3 linked regions of the Nothobranchius furzeri genome follow. The protein of the gene in region 3 purifies or fractionates together with the protein of the main gene of each other region. This does not show direct contact. Links are inferred from orthologs where the notes say so. Each region holds a gene or a part of one and is shown on either strand. Other genes may lie near its edges.

Region 1 (7,341 bases), on a different chromosome or scaffold from region 3:
AATTCATATCGTTTACACGTAAGTCACTGTAACTTGCTGTAACACACGCGATAACCTCAGTTTTTCTACCCACCGGAAGCCCGTTAAAAATCCGCTCGGCTCGCTGAGGATCGTCGGCAGCTAGCCTGCTAAATTAGCTAGCCATCGCTGTCTTCAGGGTATTCTCCATCACTTTGATCATACTGAAGGTCAAATTTTGAACCGAGCTAATACATTTAAATAACGTTTTAAACAAACCATACAGGGAAAAGATTATACATCGATGGTAGAAAAATATATAAAATGTATGAACATTGGTAAATGGCCCGAGTGAGCAGACATCTTGACTAAACCGATAAATGTACGATTCAGGTTTGGTGCAGGGTTTAATCGGTCACGACTGCTAGTAGTAATTTGTTTAAGAAAATTCTCAACACTCTCTATAAAAGTGTTTCAGTTATGCCTTCTAGGAATGCCATGGATGTCCTTTTTCCATCCTAAATTTTCTAGAAGCAGCATTTTTTAAACTGGCAGTTTTATTAGTAAAATACACTTAATTAAAAAAAACTTACATCCCCACGGGGATAAAAATGGTACATTTCGGATGTTAGTCCTACCAGGTCTAGGTAGGGTTTAGCGGACTATGATGATCTCAGATTTATATCTTTATCTGGTAGCATCCTACCCCAAACCGGTGGCTGCTGCTAATCTGTTAATCTTATTTGGAAGTGTGTGTGTGTGTGTGTGTGTGTGTGTGTGTGTGTGTGTGTGTGTGTGTGTGTGTGTGTGTGTGAGAAAGAGAGAGGTGAAGCTGCCTAAAAAGCTGGTGCAGCTATGCAAATGAGTGATTTAATAAAGTCACTAATGGTGTAGTGCAGCTGCAAGAGAGTGTGTGAGTGAGAGAAACAGGAAAACGGATGCGAGGGACAAGTGCCTCTCTGTACTGTGGGTGACTTTTACTTTACACTGCTTTTACTTTCCTATCTCCCCTTTTCCTTCCCAAATTTCAATCTTTTTTTTTATCCTCAGGAGGGGTTTGGTTTCATCATGGCAAGTTGGGATTGAGAAGCATTCACAATGATTGGAGGATTGTTCATCTACAACCACAAGGGAGAGGTTCTCATCTCCCGCGTCTACCGAGATGACATAGGGTATGTTTCTCAGACATTATGTGCGATGATAATCTTGTGGGTGGACTGTTTAGGTTTGATTCTGGATGAGAGGATTATTATGGGTTTCTGTTTAGCTAAATTAGTGTTTGGCATGTTTCTGCAAAGAAACAACACAATTTTATTGTCTGAGGCAATGATTTGCTTCCCTTGTGCTTATCATAAACCACACCTTCAAATTAAAAGATTAGACGCAGCTGTGTGGAATGCTCAAATTCAAATTGGCTTCACTGCCAGTTTCCTCATGGTGGGATAGTATTTGAATTATCATTTTCTTCTTCTGACCAAGTAATTTATTTGCTAAAATGTGTTCCTTTTCTTCTTTTTTTTTTTTTTGCCTCAATACATTTGTGTTTGCAAATACACTTGACTACACTTGTGATTTTCTCACTCTTGTAAGTCAAACTGTTTAATGCAAAATAGACCTTTCTGTATTGATGATTAATATTGAATGCATTATTTTATACAATGCTATGGTTAATATTTTACTTTGTTAGCAAAATATATAAATAATTATTTCTGCTGTAATCATTTACACTAAACGAAAAGAGGCGTGTCTGTGAGCAGAATATCTTATTGCTGCATCTGTGGTAAATTTAATTAATTTGTTCACCTTTGCTCTTTTAAATGTCTGAGTTCATTAGAGCAGGGGTTCCCAAATTGGGGGTCTGGGCCCCCAAGGTGTCCCAATAAGATTACTGGGCATTTTCTTAGCTGAGGTTGGCAAGATTTTATTTGTAAAAAAAAAAAAATTACATTTAGAAAATCATGGTAACACACCCTACAGTATAATCAGAACTCCATATAAAAGTTTGTAAATGATCACATTAATGTGTAATGCATGTTGGGGTTGGGGTCCTGGCTTGTCTTGGACATGGGCTATGGGGTCCTCAAAGGAAAGACTTGAACTCCTGCATTAAAAATTTTATTATGAAAGGTTAAAACATGTAATGAAACCCATGCTGGATACTTATTCTGAAATGTGGTTTAAAAACGGAGCTGAGTCATCACAACCAGTGCTGAGCAGCAATAGATGGAAAAATGTAGCCACTCACTTTTTTTTAATTTCATTCATTTTACAAAAAGGCATTGCTGTGTTAGGGCAAATGTAAGGTCTGCACTGCTCTTGTGCAACGTGTTATGGATATGATCTAAGTAGAATTTCCACCTTGCTTTCCCAGAATAAACATCTGCTCGTGTGTGTGCTTTCACCACTGTGTGTTGTACAAAATTCCACTGAACCCAAAAAAGAAAAGAAAATTAAAACACCCGCTCATTTTATTTTCATTGCATTATGCTGGAAAAAGCATAGTTGTGTGAATCCATGAATTTCATAGCTTATTGATGTTGCTTCAGTAGTTTTCGTAGGTATTCGTCCCCCTGGCTGCAGCAGCAGTGTAACACAAACCAGATGTTTTAGGTTTGCTCCTTGACCGCTGCATTAAATTCCTCATGCCTCTGTAATTGTGTGTAAATTAACTAGCATGTTTTTATCAGTCTGAAGCTGTTTGCCCTTTCCCTCCTGTACCTAATTGTGAAAATAGCACCCTAATAATAAACACCACGTTACTCACTCTGTCTACATAATGCACAAAAATGTCAATTGTACATTTTTGTCTCTCCTTTCTGTTTACCTCATCCCTTTTCTCCTATCTCTATCACCTCTCCCATCTGTTTCATCTTGGCCCATGTAGGAATAGGTAAGAGCTGCTGCAGCGTTTAAAGCATGACCCCCTCTCCCCCTTTCTCATGGCCTCAGATCAGTCACCCCATGAACCTTAAACCGCATGCCTTGGTCAAATACCCAGCAGTTCCTGTAAGCATGAGTCCTTACAGCAGTAAATAAATGGCTTTGTACTGAAATGCAGCAGATTAACTCAGATCTAAGAATTTATTTTCAGTTAATGTCAGCAGGAAATATTGTTGCTAAATCAGCTGTTCTGGTATCCCAGCATGGAGTCTGAGCATGGGATCTGATAATTCCATTTTCTCTCGGAAATCTTTGGTATAGTTTGAGGTTTTACTTGTAAAGGTGGCCTTTTGAAAACGTTTTCATACACAGGAGGTAATCAGGTCATCGATCAACAGTTTTAATCTGTGGTGCATTTGTTGGTTTATCTCAGACCCTCGTCAGAGCCATCCTTGCACTGAGCCCCAATTTTTGCTACAAAATAGTTTTTTCCAAATCTAAATAAAGATGACATTTGGAGAGTTTGTGATTAAAGTACATGATATAAACATGTTTTCTTTCCTATGACTCCTCCAAATCTAGGGAATGATAAGTTTTTATTTTCTCTCTCTGTGAAGACTATCACAGTTTACACCAAACACTCTAAATGCACCAGCCCAGAACGTCCCGCTTTTGCTGCTTGGATTTTGATATTTGCCTCCTTGAGAAATAAAAACAAGGGCATGTTAGTGAGGAGCGGGGGAGTTATTTCCTTTTTAATGTTAAACTTTATATTAGCCCCGCTCTGCAGCCTTTTTTTATTTCAGAGATCGTAAAATAATCCGCTCTAATGTTGACAAGCATATGATTGGCTTTAAAGTCCAACCTAAATGTTTCTTTCTGTCTCACCCCTGCTCGTCGTTGCAGGCGGAATGCCGTGGACGCGTTCCGCGTGAACGTGATTCACGCCCGGCAGCAGGTCCGGTCGCCGGTGACCAACATCGCCCGCACCAGCTTCTTCCATGTCAAGCGCTCAAACATATGGTTGGCAGCTGTGACCAAGCAGAATGTCAACGCTGCCATGGTGTTTGAGTTCCTTTACAAGATGTGTGACGTCATGACTGCCTACTTTGGCAAAATCAGCGAGGAGAACATCAAGAACAACTTTGTGCTCATCTACGAGCTGCTGGATGGTAGGAGACGATCCTGGAGTCTATTAGTCATATAATAAACATTTTGTAGGACTGCTGGACTTACACATGTCTGGGTGTAGAAAAAAAGCCTAATGTTCTGTTAGTCAGTCAGCACCGGCTACTCCGTGTACTTCATGTTCTAGTTTTCTCTACACTAGTCTTTTATCGCTAACCGCTATCTACTGGTGTTTGTTTATTCAGAGATCCTGGACTTTGGCTACCCCCAGAACTCAGAGACCGGAGCCCTGAAGACCTTCATCACCCAGCAAGGCATTAAGGGACAAGTAAGTACAGTGTTTGCCCCCGACTGATGTAGAGCTTTCAGTTTGATGTTTTTGTAGAAGATAACCTAGAAAAGTGGTGTTCAGATGAACTAAATTCACTCTAACCTGAAGCGATGAATAGTTTAAAGACAATCTGGTGGTGGAAATGTTTATTTTTGTATCTGATTCTAGTAAACTTTACATGTGGTTAATTTGTATGAATATTAAATGTGTGTTTGTTTGTGTGTGTGTGTGTGTGTGTGTGTGTCATTGTTTCCCTCGTCTGCGGTTTTTGGACCATTCAGCACCAGGTAATGTTGAAAGTTTTGTAAAAAGTCGTGTTTTCATGTGTTTCCACTCTCTGTCATCCTCTGATCATCATCATCCTTGTGTGGAAGTTTTGCTCTTTGTTCCTGATCCAGTTTCTGCTCCTGTTTCTCAGACAAAAGAGGAGCAGTCTCAGATCACCAGCCAGGTGACGGGCCAGATCGGCTGGCGTCGTGAGGGCATCAAGTATCGCCGCAATGAGCTCTTCCTGGATGTACTGGAAAGTGTTAATCTGCTCATGTCACCTCAAGGTCTGTTTATGTCCTCTAAAGACGTCCCTGACTGCTAACATAAAAAGATCCGAGGAAATGTTGACATTCAGAGACGTCTAAATGACTTGCTATCAAGTTTTGCCATGAAGGTCGACTAAAACTAGTTGAAGACTTTTTGATCGTGTTTACTTCTGCAGCTTTAAACAGAGATGGTACTGTAGAATAATTTTAGTATTTCCACAGTTTTAGACCTGAATTAAAAAGTCCTATTGTGCAGAAACGCTGTCTAAATATGGTGGAACCTGTCCCAGCGGTGTCCAGATGTTGATCCTCTCACTCCTTCCATCCAGGCCAGGTCCTGAGCGCCCACGTGTCGGGCCGTGTTGTGATGAAGAGCTACCTGAGCGGAATGCCGGAGTGCAAATTCGGCATGAACGACAAGATCGTCATCGACAAGCAGGGCAAGGGAGGAGCGTCCGACGATGCAGGGAAAAGGTGAGTGATGCGTGAGTGAGGAGGCAGGCGCTTTGGTCAAACGTGCTTTCATAAGGAGGGACATAAATTATGACTTTGCTTTTCTTGTCTAAATAGTTCTGTCCTTGAGCTCCGACTAAGAAATTCTTTTGTCCTTTTGTTTGCTCTCCTTTTGGATGGCTCTCTGTCTTTTATCCTTTCTTTACTTTGTGCTGTACCACAGTGATTTAGGGGGAGGAAGGTACGATAGCAACAAGGTTCCTCTCCCTCCACCGCTTCATTCTCCTCCTGTGTTCTGCCCAGTAACTGTTTCATCATCCCTAACCGTCCTAGTTCACTCTTTACCCATCATCATTTACTGTAGTTTTGTAGTAATAATTTAATCCAGGTTCAAATGTTGTCTTCTAGCAGCCATGTCTTTGTACTTAAGTATACTGGTGGATATCCAGAGAGTAGATTTTATCTGTAGATTGGAAAAGGATAGTTAAAATCCAGACTAGTAACAAGTTAGTTGGTGTGTCTGATGCATCTTCTGTCCTCTTCAGTGGGAAGCAGTCCATAGCCATTGATGACTGCACTTTCCACCAGTGTGTGCGTCTCAGTAAGTTTGATTCTGAGCGCAGCATCAGCTTCATCCCTCCTGATGGAGAGTATGAGCTCATGAGGTCAGTAATGGTAGTAGATTATTAGAGCCTAAAGCATCCATGAATGTCTGCTCTGATAGATCCTGCTGGGTTTTTATTTATTTTTTTATTTTTCCACTCATTCAAAATTTTGGTGGATTGATAATTCCCCCCCCCCCCCCCATTTATTTTTATTAATTTACTTTTTAAATGTATGTATTTTTCAGATATCGCACCACTAAGGACATCATCCTGCCGTTCCGAGTTATTCCTCTGGTCAGGGAGGTGGGTCGCACCAAACTGGAGGTTAAAGTGGTCATCAAGTCCAACTTCAAACCTTCGCTGCTGGCTCAGAAAATTGAGGTCAGCAAACACATTTTTACATTTTTGATGAAATTCTTTAAGTTTTGACTTCACTGGTAAATATCTGGGCTAATTCTCTCCTCAGGTGCGAATTCCAACACCCCTCAACACTAGCGGTGTGCAGGTGATTTGCATGAAGGGAAAAGCCAAATACAAGGCCAGTGAGAACGCCATAGTCTGGAAGTGAGTTGGAGCTTAGATTAAATTTAATTAACAATCTGAACTCGATGTTTAACCTCTCAAGTATTCCTGTGTGGGAATGTTTCCTTTGTGAAGCTACAAGTTTGCATTTGCAGGATCAAGCGGATGGCTGGGATGAAGGAGTCTCAGATCAGTGCTGAGATTGAGCTGCTGCCTACCAACGATAAGAAGAAATGGGCCAGGCCTCCCATCTCTATGAACTTTGAGGTAAGCGCAGCACAGTCCAGTCTGTCCTCCTTTAAGCTGTCACAGCTTAAGAGCTTCCTAATTTCAGTCGGATTCAAAGTGAACTTTTCTCTTCCAGCTGATGTTTCTAAAACTATATTTATTCTGTGAACAGTCACAGACATAGATAATAATAAGTTAGATATTTCCCAGCTTCTCCTGGTGGCTGAGACTGTAATGTGGTGTTGGCAGCCAAACAAATGGACTCTGGGTTAAATCAGATCCCAGTATTTGCTAAGAAACTTAAAAGCCGTTTAGTGTTAAACAAACTCAGAGCTTCGGTGGTGGGTAAACAGAGCAGCCCGCCTGTCCTAACATGTTCCAACTTCCCTCTCCTCTCCAGGTTCCTTTCGCACCCTCTGGCCTGAAGGTGCGCTACTTGAAGGTGTTTGAGTCCAAGCTCAATTACAGTGACCACGACGTCATCAAATGGGTGCGGTACATCGGCCGCTCCGGCATCTACGAAACCCGCTGCTGAAGTTCAGCCCCGCCAGGCAGCAAACTGACCACTTCCCTCCCATCTTTCCTGTCATTTTATTCTTCTTTCCTCCTCCTCCGTCTTTGTTCCTCCCTCTGTCCTTATCACTTTTCTCCTTCCCCATCATCCCTTCTTAACTAGGTGTCGGAGATTGAATTTACATCG
Region 2 (6,980 bases), on a different chromosome or scaffold from region 3:
AAGAAAAGTGAGGCGCGAACCGGCAAAGCTTCTGCCGATCACAGTTCGACAACGGATTATGAAAGAACAGATAACGCTCGAAACACGCGGATTCTTCCTAATGTAAGAGGTGAGTCTACTCTTTGTTTTGGTTGTTTTGGCGTCGACATCATCCTAACGTGCAACGTTCTGTGACTCTTAAAAAAACCGTAAAAACGGTGAGAAACTCTGGCAGCGAATGAGCTAAGCAAGGATGTGTGGAATCAGCTGGGGCTATCCGGGCGGTGTGGAGCTGATGCTAGTGGGAAAGGGACAAAAGTGTCTTGCCCAAGAACACAACAGCAGCATTCTCTGCTCAAAACTGGGATGGAACCTGCAACCTTTTGATTACTGGACAGCCCGCTCTACCCCCTGAGCTACTGCTGCCCCAGATAAAAGAAAAATATCTGTTTGTATTTTAAAGGTTGTTTACAGTTGGAGTGCACATACGTGCACGTGGCTGAACTCTGCAACAAGCGTCTGCGCCTCTGCGTCTTCCTGTAAATACGAGTCTGCTTTCATTCAGCTAGGATCGGTAAAACCATGCAATAAACTCTAGAAGCACCTGACTGTTGACCAAAACTAAAGGAGACAAACGGAGTTTCATTCCTGCTGCCTGGAAGGAATCAACGTCTTCGTCAGTCGTTCTGTTTTTATCCAATCGAGATGTTTGTGGCTCTTCAAACACAGAGCATACAGACGTGTTTCAACACCCACTGCCGACATGCTCGGTGCTTGAAGAACCACAGGAATCGGATTGTTTTTAGTTCCTTGTGTGTTTTTCTCAGCCTTATGTTTGTTTCCACGAGTGTGCTGTTGGTTTCCTTCAGATCAGAGCTGCTTTACCTGGATCCAGTTAGCATCAGAGCTGCTTTACTCAGATCCAGTTAGCATCAGAGCTGCTTTACTCAGATCCAGTTAGCATCAGAGCTGCTTTACCTGGATCCAGTTAGCATCATGGAGCCAACAGATTCGAAACTAATTGACACGCAACTGATTATTATGGGAAAGCTAATAATATTAAACTCCTATTTAGCCAAAATAGCTGAGATCTTAGAGGTTTCTGTAAATTTGGACCAAAATGTTGTAGAAAAGCTGCCAAACAAAAAGTTCCGAGTTTATTTATGTAACTGAAAAATCTGATTCAACAGTATTCAAGTCTGAGCTTTAGTGACCTCTAGTGGAGATTTTGTGTCCACGTCCCACCCAGATGGTCAGGACTGTCGGCGGCTGGGTGGGATGGCTGGGACACAGGAAGTTAAAGTATAAAAGTCTTTAGATTTAAGCTCTGGAACTTGGATCCCTCTTGGGGGTTTTCAAAGTAAAATCAACATAAAATGATTATTTTTTTTAAAGTGGACTTTAATGTTAGTTTAACTAAATGATGTAAATGTTGGGAAAAAAGTTTTATTTTAAGAAATGTTTAATTCGGCTGCAAAACTAAACGTGACCTGCTTTAGGTCCCAAATAAGAGTCAGAGGTCAGCCCTGAGCCCTCATTCATCACATTTAACTGGGTAGCGTTTAGCTGAAGGTAAGTTGAACCCCCCTCACCACCCGCTTTTATGGGTTTTCCTCCGTGAGGTCACAGCCATCCTCAGAAACATCTTGTTTGTGTTTTTGGGCGACGCAGCTCCAGCTGGGACAAACTCGAGCCATGAACCTTTAAAGCCCTGCTGGCGGTGCAGAAACGTCATTCACGTCCCAAAGAAAAACCTCGTTTACCTGCTTTTATTTTAGAGTGTAATCTGGTTTCAGTACAGGTCAAATTTGAACCCTTCTCACAATAAAATATTGAAGTTTTACTTGAAGTCAGACAGAAGCAACAGATCACTAACCTGTCTCTCACGTGTAAACGGTCCTGTATCATAACTGTTGCTGTGAATGTGTTTCTCTAGTGTTGATAAATAAACATGTAAAATCAATCACTTTGGGTGTTTTTATTTACTTAGAAGCTGTTGACTCCAACACAACAAGATGTTCCTGGTTTGGCTGTCCCAGTTCCTCGTCCTGTTTAGCCAGCTGACGCACAAGAGTCCCGTTTCTCCAGCGGTTTAGTAAAACTATTTTAATTAGAACGTTTTAGTGGTTAAACCTGCAGTTTTAGAGCAAAATAACCATGCAGATGTACATAAAGACTTAAAAGTTGTAAACCCTGATTTATGACTCAAATCTTTATTGGATACAGAAAAGATTTTAAAAGCACTGCTGATTCAGTCCTGAACACCAAACGGCAGCATGTGGGGGTAAAAAAGCCGTTCCTGGGTCTGAGATGAGCTCTCCTCAGCAGATCATCGGGCTGAACAGAACCAGAGGATTTGTGTTTGTTTGGGATTTCTAAGATTAAAGGAAATGTTTGCCTCTGGCTGATGGAGAAGAAAAGATTAAAGAAAACCGTTTTCTCTTGTGGGTTCAGGAGGCTGAACGCTTCAACAAGCCCAGAGGAGAAGCGATCCTGATCTCCACAAGTCAGAGATGATTTTATTTGGTTTATTTTTTATGTCCACTCGTCTTCTGCCAGAGCCCAGGCAGCGTGCAGTCAGTCTCCTCCCAGAGGACGACGTCTGATTATTAAGACGTCTCTGGAGTCGCGAACGGGAATAGGAGCTGTAATCTGTGATCCGAACATGCTGGTTTGTATTCAGATCTTTTTATGCTTCATAGCTTCTCTTGGCTGATTCCTGGTGTCGTCCTGCCAGTCAGGATGAAAAGGTTCCCGTCTCCGTGTTCACAGCAGGGGTCTCCTGATTCAGAGCTCCCTCTAAACTCAAATTGGCTTCTTTAGTTTCAATACAGTTGGAGACGCTCCACCTGCTAATTAGGCTCATTTTAGGTTTATTCAAATCTCCCGGACATAAATAACAAGATACTTTGTAAATTAAACACCTCCAACATGCAGAAATTAGACCGGAGCAGGAAGGACAAGTCTGGGCAGACGACCCGAGTCGGTGCTTCCATTTTTTTTAAGGGATATTTTGAGTTTTAAAAGGCATCTATGTCCTCGACCTTTAAGCTCGTTCTTCCCACCGCGCAGAGTACGCCACGCACATACACACACAGGTTAACAGTTTCTGGTGTTCCTGCAGGAGCCGGCGTGATGAAGAGTGAGCAGAACACAGAGGTTCCTGAGGGTCCGGACGCAGCCAAAGAGGCCAAGCCTTGCAGAAAAAGCATCTCTAAACCTGGGGAAGAGTCAGAAAGTGACTTTGAGTCTGACCCACCATCTCCGAAGAGCAGCGAGGAAGAAGAGCAGGAAGAGGAGGCCTTGAACAGTGAGCATGGTGAGGACACGGAGCCGGAGAACCTGGGACAGCGTCCCCTGCTGATGGACTCTGAGGAGGAGGATGAAGAAGACAAACACAGCTCGGACTCAGACTCCGACCTCAGCCGGGTCAAGAGCCGCTCAAAGAAGCCCAGAGGAGCTACAGAAGCTGCTTCCAGGTCTCCGCAGGGCATGAGTCTGATCACCCCCCCTGTGTCTCCCAGCAGAGCCACTGTGTTGAAGGACGTGGATGTCTTTGGTGCTGTTCCCTTCCTTGGAGGAAGTTCGCCTGTCGGACCCTCAGAGAGTACTGACATCTTCTTCAAAGCACCTTTCAGGCAGGTTGGCCATGACCAGCCGGCAGCTGATGATTTTGATGTTTTTACCAAAGCACCGTTCAGCTGCAACCTCTCCAAGTCTGGAAAGAGCAGCGGCGACGTTCCCATGGGCCAGACGCCTCCCATGTCCCCGGACAGCATCGATGTCTTTGGCTTCTCCCCTTTCCACCCGGGCCCTACTGAAGCTCCTCCTACCACCTCAAAGAGCGCAGATGACATATTTCGCTCATCTTTTGAGGATCTGGCCACTCAGCAGCAGAGGCTGAAGCAACGCAGCCTCCAGAAGTTGTCATCACGACAACGGAAAACAAAACAGGAAGTGACTGCAGGGGGCAGCAACGGGAAGCGGCATCACGGGACCCCAACCGGCGGACGCAAGAGCAACAAGCCGACGTACCGCACCCCAGAGAAGGTCCGGCGGCACAAGAAGGTCAGCCGCAGAGACTCTCAGAGCAGCAACGAGTTCCTGAGTGCCTCCGACTCGAAAGAGAACATCAGCGTTGACATCACTGTGGCTGAAGGCAAGGACAAGGCGGCGGCGGTGGACGATCCAGTCTTAGATCCGTTTGGGGCCAAACCGTTCCACCCCACGGAGAGCGGTAAGTCCTGGATGGGCTCGCATCGCAGCGGAGACAGCAGGTCCATGGATGATTTTGGGGCGGTGCCTTTCACAGAACTGGTCATCGGTAGCGGACCTCAACAGCAGCAGGTGGCGGCACCTCTAGTGGACCTTGACCCATTTGGAGCTGCACCTTTTCCCTCCAAGCCTTAACTTGTCTTCCTGCTCAGGTAGCTGATTAACCCGGACTTTGGTTCGGGATCATCTTTTTATTCTAACATGTTTTTAGCTTCAGCTTTACGCCTTTAGGAGCCCGAGACTGTGCTGTGATACGTAACTGCAAAAAGCTCTTCATGCTTCTGCTGCTTAAGCACCACGACGCCTTACCCCGCTGCACCGACCGCAGCTTTAACCACTTTAAGGGATTTCTGTCTGCAGCTGAATGTTTCTAGAAGGGAATCGGGAAACTTCTGTTTGGCTCTTTTTTTTATGAACAAAGGAAATAAAACATGAAGCAGATGTCTTCAACAGGTTGTGATTTACATGTTTTTTACTCTCGTCACAGGAAATAAAACAAGGTCTCAGAACATTTCAGAAGCGTAAATAATTTAAAAACAGAACCTTTGTTTTTACACCTAATAGAAGGAAAATGGCTTCATTCCAAAACGACCCTTAAACTCCTGCCTGGAGGGTTGTTCTGGCAGACTGAAGAACTTATTTACACGAGTCTATAAATATGTTGCCATGGTAACCACTTAGGTTTTACTGCAGCTAATAATTTAGACTACTGAATCTGTGATAAGCCCTTCACTCGTGGTACATTTATCATGTGTTTTATTTTAAAAATGATGGGATTAACCGATTCAGCCGGGATGCATCGTAGCTAAGCTCACAGACGTCAGCAGAACCATAACGATCTAAAGACTGATGATGACCAGCAGCAGAGCTCACCTGTGAAGGTTAAGCACCAGAAATGGTCTCCCTGCCAAACCACCACTGCACCCCCTAGTGGTTGTTTCTTCAAATTACATTTTTGGTTCTTTTTTGAAACACAGGAAAGGTTTCTCTTTACCTTGCTGACGCTGATGGTGGCATCACTTCCTACTCTTGTGTACCCGCGGGCAGCAGAGGGCGTTGCCTCCAGCCACCATCAGCTCAGAGGATGTTTGCAGCCGCAAACGAAACGTCAGCAAGGTACAGAGAAACCTTTCCTGTGTTTTAAAAAGAACCAAAAATGGGACGTTGGAACAAAGCTGCTGGTGAAACTTTCATAAATGCACCGTCAGACCCGTCGCTCAAAAAGCAAACACCTGCATCAGCTGATTCAGGTAAACCCACAGGGAGGGTCTCCTCAAACGCCAGTTTAAAGACTTTCTCAGAGACGAGTCCCCGTGGAGCAGAAACCACCAGCTGGCTTCACTACGGTGCCCAGCAAGGACCAAAATACATCCAAGGTCTTCAACCCTACCTGTTAAGAGTTGGTGGTGTCTCCCTACAGCAGCAGTACCCTAGCGGGTTCTGTAGAAACCAGCAGAACCATCCTGCATGTTGGAATGAAGCCATGACAACATCAGAAACGCTGCTTCCAGGCTTGTTCTGGGTAATTAAATGCTTGTAAGCTAAAGTAAGAGACGCAGCTGCGCCCTCTAGGGGCCAGGCTGCTTCTGGAGCTAACATATGAAACAGTCCCTTGATCAACACCTGGAACAGTGAAGCTTCAGCGTTGGTCAGCAGTCTGACCATGAAGCTAACCTTTGACCCTGGTCTTCTGGCCTGCTGATGGTTTCCTCCATCGCTGCAGACGATCTACAGCTCTTCTCTTACATCTGTTTGGGTGTATACACAAACTTCATGTGAAAACGGGACATTTGATCTGCTGCTGTTTGTGCAAAGCAAGAAAAGAAACCAGAAGGTTGTCACGCGGGTGTCCCGATGTGGAGTTAGAAATCAGCTGTTCACATAAACAATAACACGCTGCTCACCGTCCTGGTCCCCTGACGAGGAGCTATGAATGCTGGGAAGCTTCAGGACACGGCTGGCTGTGTCTGTACGCCATGATGAAGCCCGACGTCTGGTGCCACCAGTAAAACATCAGAACCAGCAGTAGGTGCCACACCTGGTGGCTGGAGCCCAGGTAGTTCAGCTGACCTGGAGACACGAAATAGAAGACTAGAGGTTCTGATGCTTAAACGTGCTGGGTGGGCCAGGTTCAAATAGAGGCTCAGGAGGTTAACATCCCATAATAATAAACCGGATCTCACCTGGGAAGTAACGCTCGGGAACTTTGGAAACATAAAAGACGAGCGCCAGCGCAGCGATGAAGTACATCCCCAGGACCCGCGGCACAAAAGCCTGCAGAGGAAATCGGGTCAAACCTCAGAGTCACAAAGCCGAGCAGGTGAAGGCGGTCCAGCTCACCTGGACCAGCTCCGAGGAGAAGCCTCCTGTGATGCAGATCCAGTGGACAGTGGGGACCAGGCCGTATCCGGCCACCGAGCAGAAGATGAGCGAGCGAAGCTGCTTCCACTGCTTGCTGAGGTAGAGAGGGTGGATCTGAGCGAAGAACACGGCCAGGATCATGGCCAGGACTGTCACCAGGTACACCTGCCGCAGGTACTGCAGACAACCAAGTCCAAACACACATCTACTCATAAGGACAGGGGTAGGAACTTCTCAGGCGTTCAGGGTAAAACGATTGAAGATCCTGCAGCTAAAGCGAGACGAGAGGAGTAAAACGGTTCCTTGAGAGTGTTGTTGGCCACGTTTCCTCTGCATGTGTTAAAACTCTCCTACTGTTTGACTTG
Region 3 (8,592 bases):
TGACCTCTGCCCGGTGGTCTGGGAATCACCGCCATACTGGAGGGTGGGTACAGACCCTGGCTCTCTGCATCCTGGTACAGAGCAGCGTGTCGCGCTTCAGCCTCGTTCTTCCCAACCACGAACCTGGGCAGCGGCAGATCCTTGACTGACGAGGAAGAAAATAAAATAATTATTCACAACGCTTCCTAATCAAATCGTTGCAAAAGACACAGAAGCTGTCAGCATTTGGGGTACTCTGACTCTCTGCAGCCGAGAGAGAGAGAGCTGCTGTAATCAGATGATGGGATTATAGCTCATAAAGACGGTCACAGCTGCTTCCTCAAAATGAAACAAACAGGTCTGTTCAGCTCGTTACTGCTGGGTTACAAAGTCGAACCTCACACAAAACATGGAACTTAAACTTGTGATGTTGCTGCGGTGGAGACTTCAACGTGTAAATAATGGTTTTTAAGGAGTGGAAGGCTTGAATTCGGTCTCTAAACCAAAATCCACAACACTGTACGTCTCCACGATGCAGGAGGAAGCGGCCTCTCGACCTCCAAATGTGGTATCAAATATTTCATCATGTGAAATAGTTCCTGGCCGCTGTGGGCAGCGCGAGAGTGACATTAAGCTAAAACCTTCCCGTCTCTATGTTTACAAACTCAGATCATCTAGTGAGGAGTGACTTCTTAATGCCAAATATGCAGAAACATGGCCGACATTAACCAATCAAACTGGTCCACTGATCAAACGATGCTTGTGAGCCCAGGTAAGCTCGTTGTGTGTCTCCAGGTGATTAGAGCAGGTCCAGCGTGAATGGTTTTATCCAGGTGCAGGAGATGTTTTCCCGGGGAATTTTTGCCACACTGTTGAAATGCTCGTCATACCAACGGCAAATGTACAATCCTGGAAATACCACATCCAATCACTGTGGACGTCCCGTTCTTAAGGATTGGATCCTGATCCATCCATCAAACTGCCCTTTGACCATCCCTCCTCCTCTGCACACACCCCTCTATGTGCACAAACTGCACATTCTTGGCTTGGAGCAGCTACACAGGAAGTGAAGCCAGAGTCTGGCTACCTATATTAGCTAGCATGCTAAATTGTTATACAGGTATGTAGCCTGAGCTGAAGTAGCAGAGGTTTCCAGTGTAATAAATCCAGTGCTCCCCACTGGATCGCCAGTCTAGTTCCCAGTAGATTCTCTGTTCTAAGCTTTCAGTGAAGAACCCCTGATGGACGCCGGATTACGAGGAGTCGCCAGGCGCCTGGGGGCTACGTGGCGGTTATGTGGGTGTGTTATGTTGGGAATTATGCCAGAAAAGGTGCCGACGACAGGGCAAAAAGGTAAGATAAGGTTATGTTTTTGGTTGCTTGACAGCATCTGTTGCATCCAGCATTCTCCTGCATTCTGGATGTGGGCGATGGTGGCACAGGAGTTAAGTGCTCGCCCCGTAATCAGAAGGTTGCAGGTTCGAGCCCTGCTCAGTCTGTCGCTGGGTCCTTGGGCAAGACACTTAACCCACGTTGCCTGCTGGTGGTGGTCGGCGGGACCGGTGGCGCCAGTGCTCGGCAGCCTCACCTCTGTCAGTGCGCCCAAGGGCAGCTGTGGCTACATCGTAGCTCATCCCCACCAGTGTGTGAATGTGTGTGTGAATGGGTGAATGACTGATTGTGTTGTATTAAAGCGCCTTGGGGGGTTCCAGGACTCTAGAAGGAGCTATATCAAATACAAATACATTTACCATTTACCATTCTGGAGGCGTGGCTTAAGGGCGGAGCCTGAAGGAAGGGGGTTGGACAATTTAAATAAAGTTTTTAAAAATGCTGCTTGCTTGAACGGCTTATTCCATGAACACAAACCGTTTAGGTTAACTTCTCCTGCTCCTCTACAGTATCGTATAATAACTAAAGATGACAACAAATGCTGCATGGTGGTGCAGTGGTTAGCACTGTTGCCTTGCAACACAAAGGTTGCAGGTTCGAAAACTCAGCTGCAGCCTTTCTGCATGGAGTTGCGTGTTCTCCCCATGCATGCGTGGGTTTCTTCCGGGTACTCCGGTTTCCCCCACAGATCACAACATGCCCTATAGGTTATAAATTGTAAGTCGCTTTGGATAAAAGCGTCTGCCAAATAAATAAACATAAACAAATGCCTGTCCCTTATTGTTGTGCCCAAATTACTCCAAAGTCCAGAAACAGTAAAAAAAAAAAAAAAAAAAAAATCTGAATCCTCTCTTTGTAAAGGTAAACACACAAGTCCAGCAGCCCGTTCACACATGCTGTGTTCCTGAGATGCCAGCAAAGGGAATCGGTCTGTAGAGCAGTGGTGAGGTTTACACAGGAACTCACCCGAATTGAGACTTTCCACCCTCAAGGGTAGACCAGACTGGGCGATGGCGATTAGCTTCAAAGCGATGTAGAACTGGCTCCGTCCGAAATGGCCCAGCCGAGTGGCTCCACATAACTCTGTGATCTAACACACACACACACACACACACACGAGGAACTGTTAACGTTATTGTCTTCATCTGGAGTCAAACTTGTGACAGCTTCTGTTCAACTCTCAATAAGTAGCATTATGGTATTTTAGGATCAACTGTCCCCTTCTCTCATGTCAAGCATAACACTAAACAGCTGACAAAAGCTCTTAGTCCCGGTTCTGAATGTGGCCCGAGCAGCAGCCTGTTTTACAGCGTTTACTTCAGAGAGCAGCCACAAGCCTGATCATCACACATTCTAAATCATTTTGTGCCGATTAGCAGATCCGCTGGACGCAACAGCATCAGGAAACACAGGAGAAACTTTAAAAACAGTTAAAAAATCATCATGTCTTCACGAAAATAAAAAAGGAAAGACAAGTACGTCTGCAACCTGTGGATGATTAACCCATGAAGTGTCAGCCTCTCGGGACTGTGAACTCCCACAGCTGACTGATGCCTTTCTTGCCTGCTGCTGACAGAGGACTTTATCGAAGTGTGTGAGCACAAAAAGCACCAGTCATGCCACGGCGTAGCGTCTAATGGGCCAACAACACTGAGCTCAGTGTGTACTGTCAAAGTACAACGCCGGCTGATTCCTCCACACAGCTCGACTTGCTGACCTTGAAGGATGCTGACTCACAAACTGCAAATACTGGACTGCTGAGAGACACGAGAACGGGTCGCTGCAGTTTAACTGGCTGCTCATGACTCAGATAAGTGCCAGAGATGGGATTATCACACATGAAACGACTTGAGGCAGCTACATCCTATGGTCACCCAACCCAAGATCATGTTGCAACTTCATTTGCTGCACAAGATTAAACAAGGGCTGATGCTTCTGTTTGATTTAAGTACAGATCAACTGTTAATGTCTGAGGAAAGAGTGAAAAGAACAGTTGCGAAAGGAAAGGCATCACTACTAGTATAAAAACAAACCGCTGACAGAAACGGGGTGGTGTCAGCCGCAATTATTGCTGCAGGGTGTTGCAACACTAATCATTAGTTTGATCACTTGAAACCAGCTCTCAATGCTTTGTAATATTAATGATTCAAGATGGGATTCAGCTAAGAAAATGACATCAGTTTGGCTGATAGTGACAGAAACAACCGAAATCCTAAAATGTCCAGTGGGTTTACTCAGTAAAAACAGCTGTAGCTTTATTGTGTACAAAATTAATTGCACAATTTTTTTAGAAATATTGTTTTGCTTCTTTTTAGAGAGTTTGCTTTTTTAGAAGTGGGTTCATTCATTCTTCCTTTTACACCTGAATTTGTGTGACACTGCAATTAAACACAGCAGTTAAACGATGCCTTCAATGATTAAACTCTGGGTATTACAGCCCCACCTGAAACCCCTCTTTACCACATAAATCACATTAGAAGCTACATGCTGTGGCACACCGTCTGTTTTGCTGCATGTCAGACACGGGATTGGTGAGAATATCACGTCTTCTGCTTTTCATATGACCACATAAAAAAACAGCAGTGATTCAGACACAACAGAAGGAGAAGCAGATAGAGGATCCACTAGCAGCTACAGATGCTAACATTAGCCAGAAGAAGGTGTGTCTGTTGCTGCGCAGCTTTGCTAACCAGCCAGCTAACCTCAGGTCACTAACAGACGGCTAACTTTATACCTCATCTGTTAACAGCTCAAGGTTTCCTGCTCAGTCTTACTTTGTTGTCAGAACGGCTTAAAACCGATACCTGCTCTGGTTAGCTTACCTGCAGGACAACTTCGCTTGGTAGCTGGGCCGCCCGGAAAAGGTCAAGAACTCTCCCGTTGGATGCCACTTTCTTGGTGTTGTCCGTGTCGCAGTAGACGAACAAGTCCGAGTAATATTTCTGCTCCACATCACTCAGCGTTAGACTTTCCATCGTAGTGAACCTGGAGACCGGACGAGTTGGCTGCTGATTTACCCGTAGCCAATGGCTGGGGCAGGATCCGAAAATGGGCGAGCCTTCAGGATCCCAACTCAGCGAGCTAACGATGAGGTTAGCGGTGAGAATGTCCACAACACACCGTATCGAGTTGTTGTCGCGTGGCCCCCCAGTCTCCGTAAACGCTCCTAATGCTGTGTGCAAGTAAACAGCGCCAAGCCCAACTCGAATATTCCAACGAGGGACGCTTTCACACAGTTCGTTAACTTGTTGGATAGCAGAGCCAAAGTGGCCAACAGCTGGCTCAGTCAGAGCTAACAGCTACCTTGAATCAAAGTCAGCCGCACTAACGGCACTGCCAAGTCGTAAACTGCGTCCACCTTCTCGATCTGGACACCAACCGTGCCAATCTTACGTTACGGCGTCTCGTCCCCTCTCGATCCGCAGCGGCGGGGTGTTTCTAAATCCTAGTGGAGAAAGATTCCTCCACGGGGCCGTTAGAAGTAAAGTTTCAGGGTCTCGGAGCTTCTTCCTCTCGTAATCATAGCGGCCATTCCTGCCATCACTTAAAAGTCACCGGAAGTTACTACTGGGCTTCCGGAAGAGCTCTTTAAAAATAATGTTCGCACTTGTTCAGACAAAAATATAAAAATTTCAAAAGCTGTGCATATACTAAACCGGCCACTGGCTGTTTTATTTTCCTAACCGGCCACTGGCTGTTTTATTTTCCTAAATAAGCCACATTTTATATGTTGCATAAAATAATCAGAAATTGACTCAAATATAAAAAAGTGATAATAGTTTTTGTGGTAATTTTATGTAAATTTTAATCAAATGAGCTAACACCAAACCTAAATTAAAGTGTAATTGAAAAATTGCTAATAAAACTATTTATTTGCTTGTTCCAATTTCCATACTGCTGTGAATACACTGCTATCAATATGTGCATGCAAATTAGTATTTTCATATATATATATATATATATATATATGTGTGTGTGTGTGTGTGTGTGTGTGTGTGTGTGTGTGTGTGTGTGTGCATTATTATTTTTTTAGATTTTTTTAATGTTTGAGGACTTTCAATGATTTAAATGTTTTTGTGTTTTCTTCTTGTTTATTTTTTTTATTTTACTTAACCTTTATTCGTTATTTTTTACTCTTATTTGGCTCCTTTGTGAATGTTTGCTGCTGTGACACCAACATTTCCCACTGAGGGACAATAAAGAGTTTTCTATTATGTACTGTTCAAGTCCTAAAGTAAAAAAAAAATGACACACACTTTAAAGAAAATATGACAGATCAAACTTGTGATCTAACTATTCTTTCGAAATTAGAGTCTCTTTATTCACGTGGTTTGCAACAAAAGGAAGGGGAAAGGTTAGTTCCTCGACATGGTGACAGTTTTTAGCTTAGCTTCTTCTTTTGACATTGTTAGTGTGTTTGATTCTTTCTCAAGCAGTTCCCATTTTAGTTTATAAGATTAAAAACAACGTGGCATTTAGCCAAAGTGTAATGTAGTTGTTCAATTCAATTCAAAAATTCTTTATTAATCCCAGAGGGAAATTAAAGTTAATTCCAGAGGGAAATTAGAGTTGAATATCCTTTGGTCCGTTTTGTTTTAAATAAAATATTTATTTTGTGATTCTTCATCGTTTGCTTGAGTGCAACATTAATTAATGCATGGTGATGATTATATAAAAGATTAATTATTAAGAATAAACACAGATTTGTAAGTTAAGAATTTTTCTGAACTATCTGATGACATAAATCAATAACATTTAACTGTAAAATTTGCTGAAAGATAGCTCCTCCACATTTTATGTGCTTTTGTTTTGACATCAAAACAGGATACTTCCGGTGGGACCTTTTGTTTCTTCGCTACGATGTCACGCTACGGTCCGAGTCAGCGCGAGTCTGTTTGGCCTGTAGAGACCCGGATGACTAATTTCAAAATAAGAGCTGAACTTTATTTATTTATTTGTCCGGACAAGTCGATTGAGAACTCATTCTCATTTACAACGATATGGTCAAGAGGTTGCAGTAACAGACACATCTTTACATCAAAGAAAAACAGGTAAGATTAAAAAAATAATACAAGACAAAACAATTAGACATAAAGACAACGGACTGTTCTCATTTACAATATGTACAAGCAATCAAAGCAGACTTAAAACAGTCTTTAAGTAATCGCAGGCACATTCATCAGAAACTATTTACTAACTAACTTAGTAAAACTAACTTTACTTCACATGACAGATATTAAACTATAACCAAAAATTATGCACTTACAACTTAAGACGTCACTAAGAATAAGACCAGTTTCTGATGTTTTGTTGTGTTTAAGAAAATATTTTAAACATAGAATTTGCTAAAGAAAAAAATGCAAATTTTTCTAGACAGACAGACAGACAGACAGACAGACAGACAGACAGACAGACAGACAGATAGATAGATAGATAGATAGATAGATAGATAGATAGATAGATAGATTGATTGATAGATAGATAGATGATAGATAGATAGACAGACAAATAGATACTAGTGTTCGCTCGTGTCACGATGAAGTCAGATGAGCTCCCGTGGTGCCTTCAATCTACCATTCGATGCGGAATAAATAAAACTAACGCTTTAAGGATTATCTAAAGTCTACGTCCATCACTCTCATTCACGTTTGGATTATTTTCTAGTCAGCAGCTCATTGTTGGCTGACATTTCAGACACTGAGATACACCCCATAGTTGTCAGCGACCAAGCTCCGGTTTCTTTAACTCTGGTAAACAAGAAGACAATCCCATCAAGCAAAAACTGGAGGTTTAATACATCACTGCTTAAAGACGAAGGTTTTATAGAATTTTTTTAAAAGGAGTGGGCTTTATATTTAGAACATAATGACCTGCCTGGAACATCAGCATCTGTTCTCTGGGAGGCAGGAAAGGCAGTGATGAGAGGTAAAAAAATCTCTTTCTCATCACATAAGAAAAAACAGAAAACAAACATATTCAGGAGTTAGAAGAAATCATTAAGTCTTTAGAGGCATCCAAAGAAGAAGAGTTAATGAGCAAATTACATAAAGCTAAATTAGAACTTCTTGGAATTATTGACAAAAAGACACAATTTTTAGCACAAAGACTTTGAATAGAAAACTTTGAACATAGTAATAAATCAGGTAAATTTTTAGCTAGCCAGTTAAAAATTAATAAAGAGAAAACTACCATAGCTGCTGTTAAAGACTCAACCGGGAATATAGTTTATGAGCCTGAAAGAATAAACAACACTTTCAGAGACTTTTGCCAAACTTTGTAATCACCACAGATAAACCCGTCAGATAACGAGATCGATGAGTTCCTTGACAGGATAACACTTCCTAAATTATCAGACAGCTAAGTTACAGTCCTGGACTCGCCACTAACATCAGCGGAGCTCCAGGAAGCCCTTAAATCCATGACGAATAGGAAAGCTCCAGGTCCAGACGGGTTTCCAGCAGAGTTCTACAAAGAATTCTGGATAATTCTGGCTCCAATATTTTTCAGAATGGTGAGGGAAACCGAAGAGAGTGGAGATTACAGCCAAACATGAATTCAGCCAATATCAGTCTCTTGTTAAAACCAGGCAAAGACCCTGCATTTCCTACCAGCTATCACCCAATTTCCCTTAGAAATGTTGATCTCAAAATAATTTGTAAAGCCCTGGCAAAAAGATTAGAGAAGGTAACCCCCTTCATAATACACCCTGACCAAACTGGTTTCATCAAGGGTAGACAGTCATCCACTAACTCATGTAGATTACTTAATTTGATAGATTTCTCTTACAGTAGAAACATAGAAACTAGTATATTATCTCTAGATGCAGAAAAGGCTTTTGATAGAGTTAACTGGAAGTTCTTATTTGCAACTTTATATAAATTTGGTTTTGGGAACTTCTTCATAAACTTGCTACAAACATTATACAGTTCACCAACTGCACGTGTCAGGACAAACGACCAAATATCAGCTAGCTTCTATCTTCAGAGGGGGACCAGGCAGGGATGCCCACTCTCCACCTCACTGTTTGCTATCTTTATCAAACCACTAGCAGCAGCAATTAGGCAAACAACAGGTATTAAAGGGATAAAGTGTAAGAAAATAGAACATAAGATTAGTCTTTATGCAGATGATGTTTTACTCTTTCTCCGGAATTCTCAATCCTCTCTCTCCCAAGCAATAGAACTGATAAACTCTTTTTCTAAAGTTTCAGATTACTCTATA

What was found. Proteins that work in one complex are often made in the same cells at the same time.
Region 1: the proteins of reps1 (region 3) and AP-2 complex subunit mu-A purify together in Homo sapiens (affinity purification with mass spectrometry; 3 studies listed by BioGRID and IntAct, counting the BioPlex papers as one, with this or other methods). This does not show direct contact. The link is inferred for Nothobranchius furzeri from reciprocal best matches to the Homo sapiens genes REPS1 and AP2M1.
Region 2: the proteins of reps1 (region 3) and bmp2k purify together in Homo sapiens (affinity purification with mass spectrometry; 3 studies listed by BioGRID and IntAct, counting the BioPlex papers as one, with this or other methods). This does not show direct contact. The link is inferred for Nothobranchius furzeri from reciprocal best matches to the Homo sapiens genes REPS1 and BMP2K.

Annotation. Positions count from the first base shown.
Region 1 is NC_091751.1:56,897,253-56,904,593, forward strand, and holds part of AP-2 complex subunit mu-A, read left to right. Parts: intron 1-1,008; 5' UTR 1,009-1,056; coding exon 1,057-1,130; intron 1,131-3,744; coding exon 3,745-4,010; intron 4,011-4,211; coding exon 4,212-4,294; intron 4,295-4,715; coding exon 4,716-4,851; intron 4,852-5,162; coding exon 5,163-5,307; intron 5,308-5,831; coding exon 5,832-5,951; intron 5,952-6,136; coding exon 6,137-6,272; intron 6,273-6,357; coding exon 6,358-6,455; intron 6,456-6,568; coding exon 6,569-6,680; intron 6,681-7,041; coding exon 7,042-7,176; 3' UTR 7,177-7,341.
Region 2 is NC_091750.1:39,726,754-39,733,733, reverse strand, and holds the end of bmp2k (BMP-2-inducible protein kinase), read left to right. Parts: intron 1-3,103; coding exon 3,104-4,389; 3' UTR 4,390-4,704; downstream 4,705-6,980. Other genes in the region: paqr3a (progestin and adipoQ receptor family member 3a), read right to left, coding at 6,182-6,324, 6,438-6,528, 6,595-6,792. UniProt on the Homo sapiens protein: May be involved in osteoblast differentiation.
Region 3 is NC_091742.1:12,195,631-12,204,222, reverse strand, and holds the start of reps1 (ralBP1-associated Eps domain-containing protein 1), read right to left. Parts: upstream 4,670-8,592; 5' UTR 4,347-4,669; coding exon 4,194-4,346; intron 2,462-4,193; coding exon 2,338-2,461; intron 146-2,337; coding exon 1-145. UniProt on the Homo sapiens protein: May coordinate the cellular actions of activated EGF receptors and Ral-GTPases.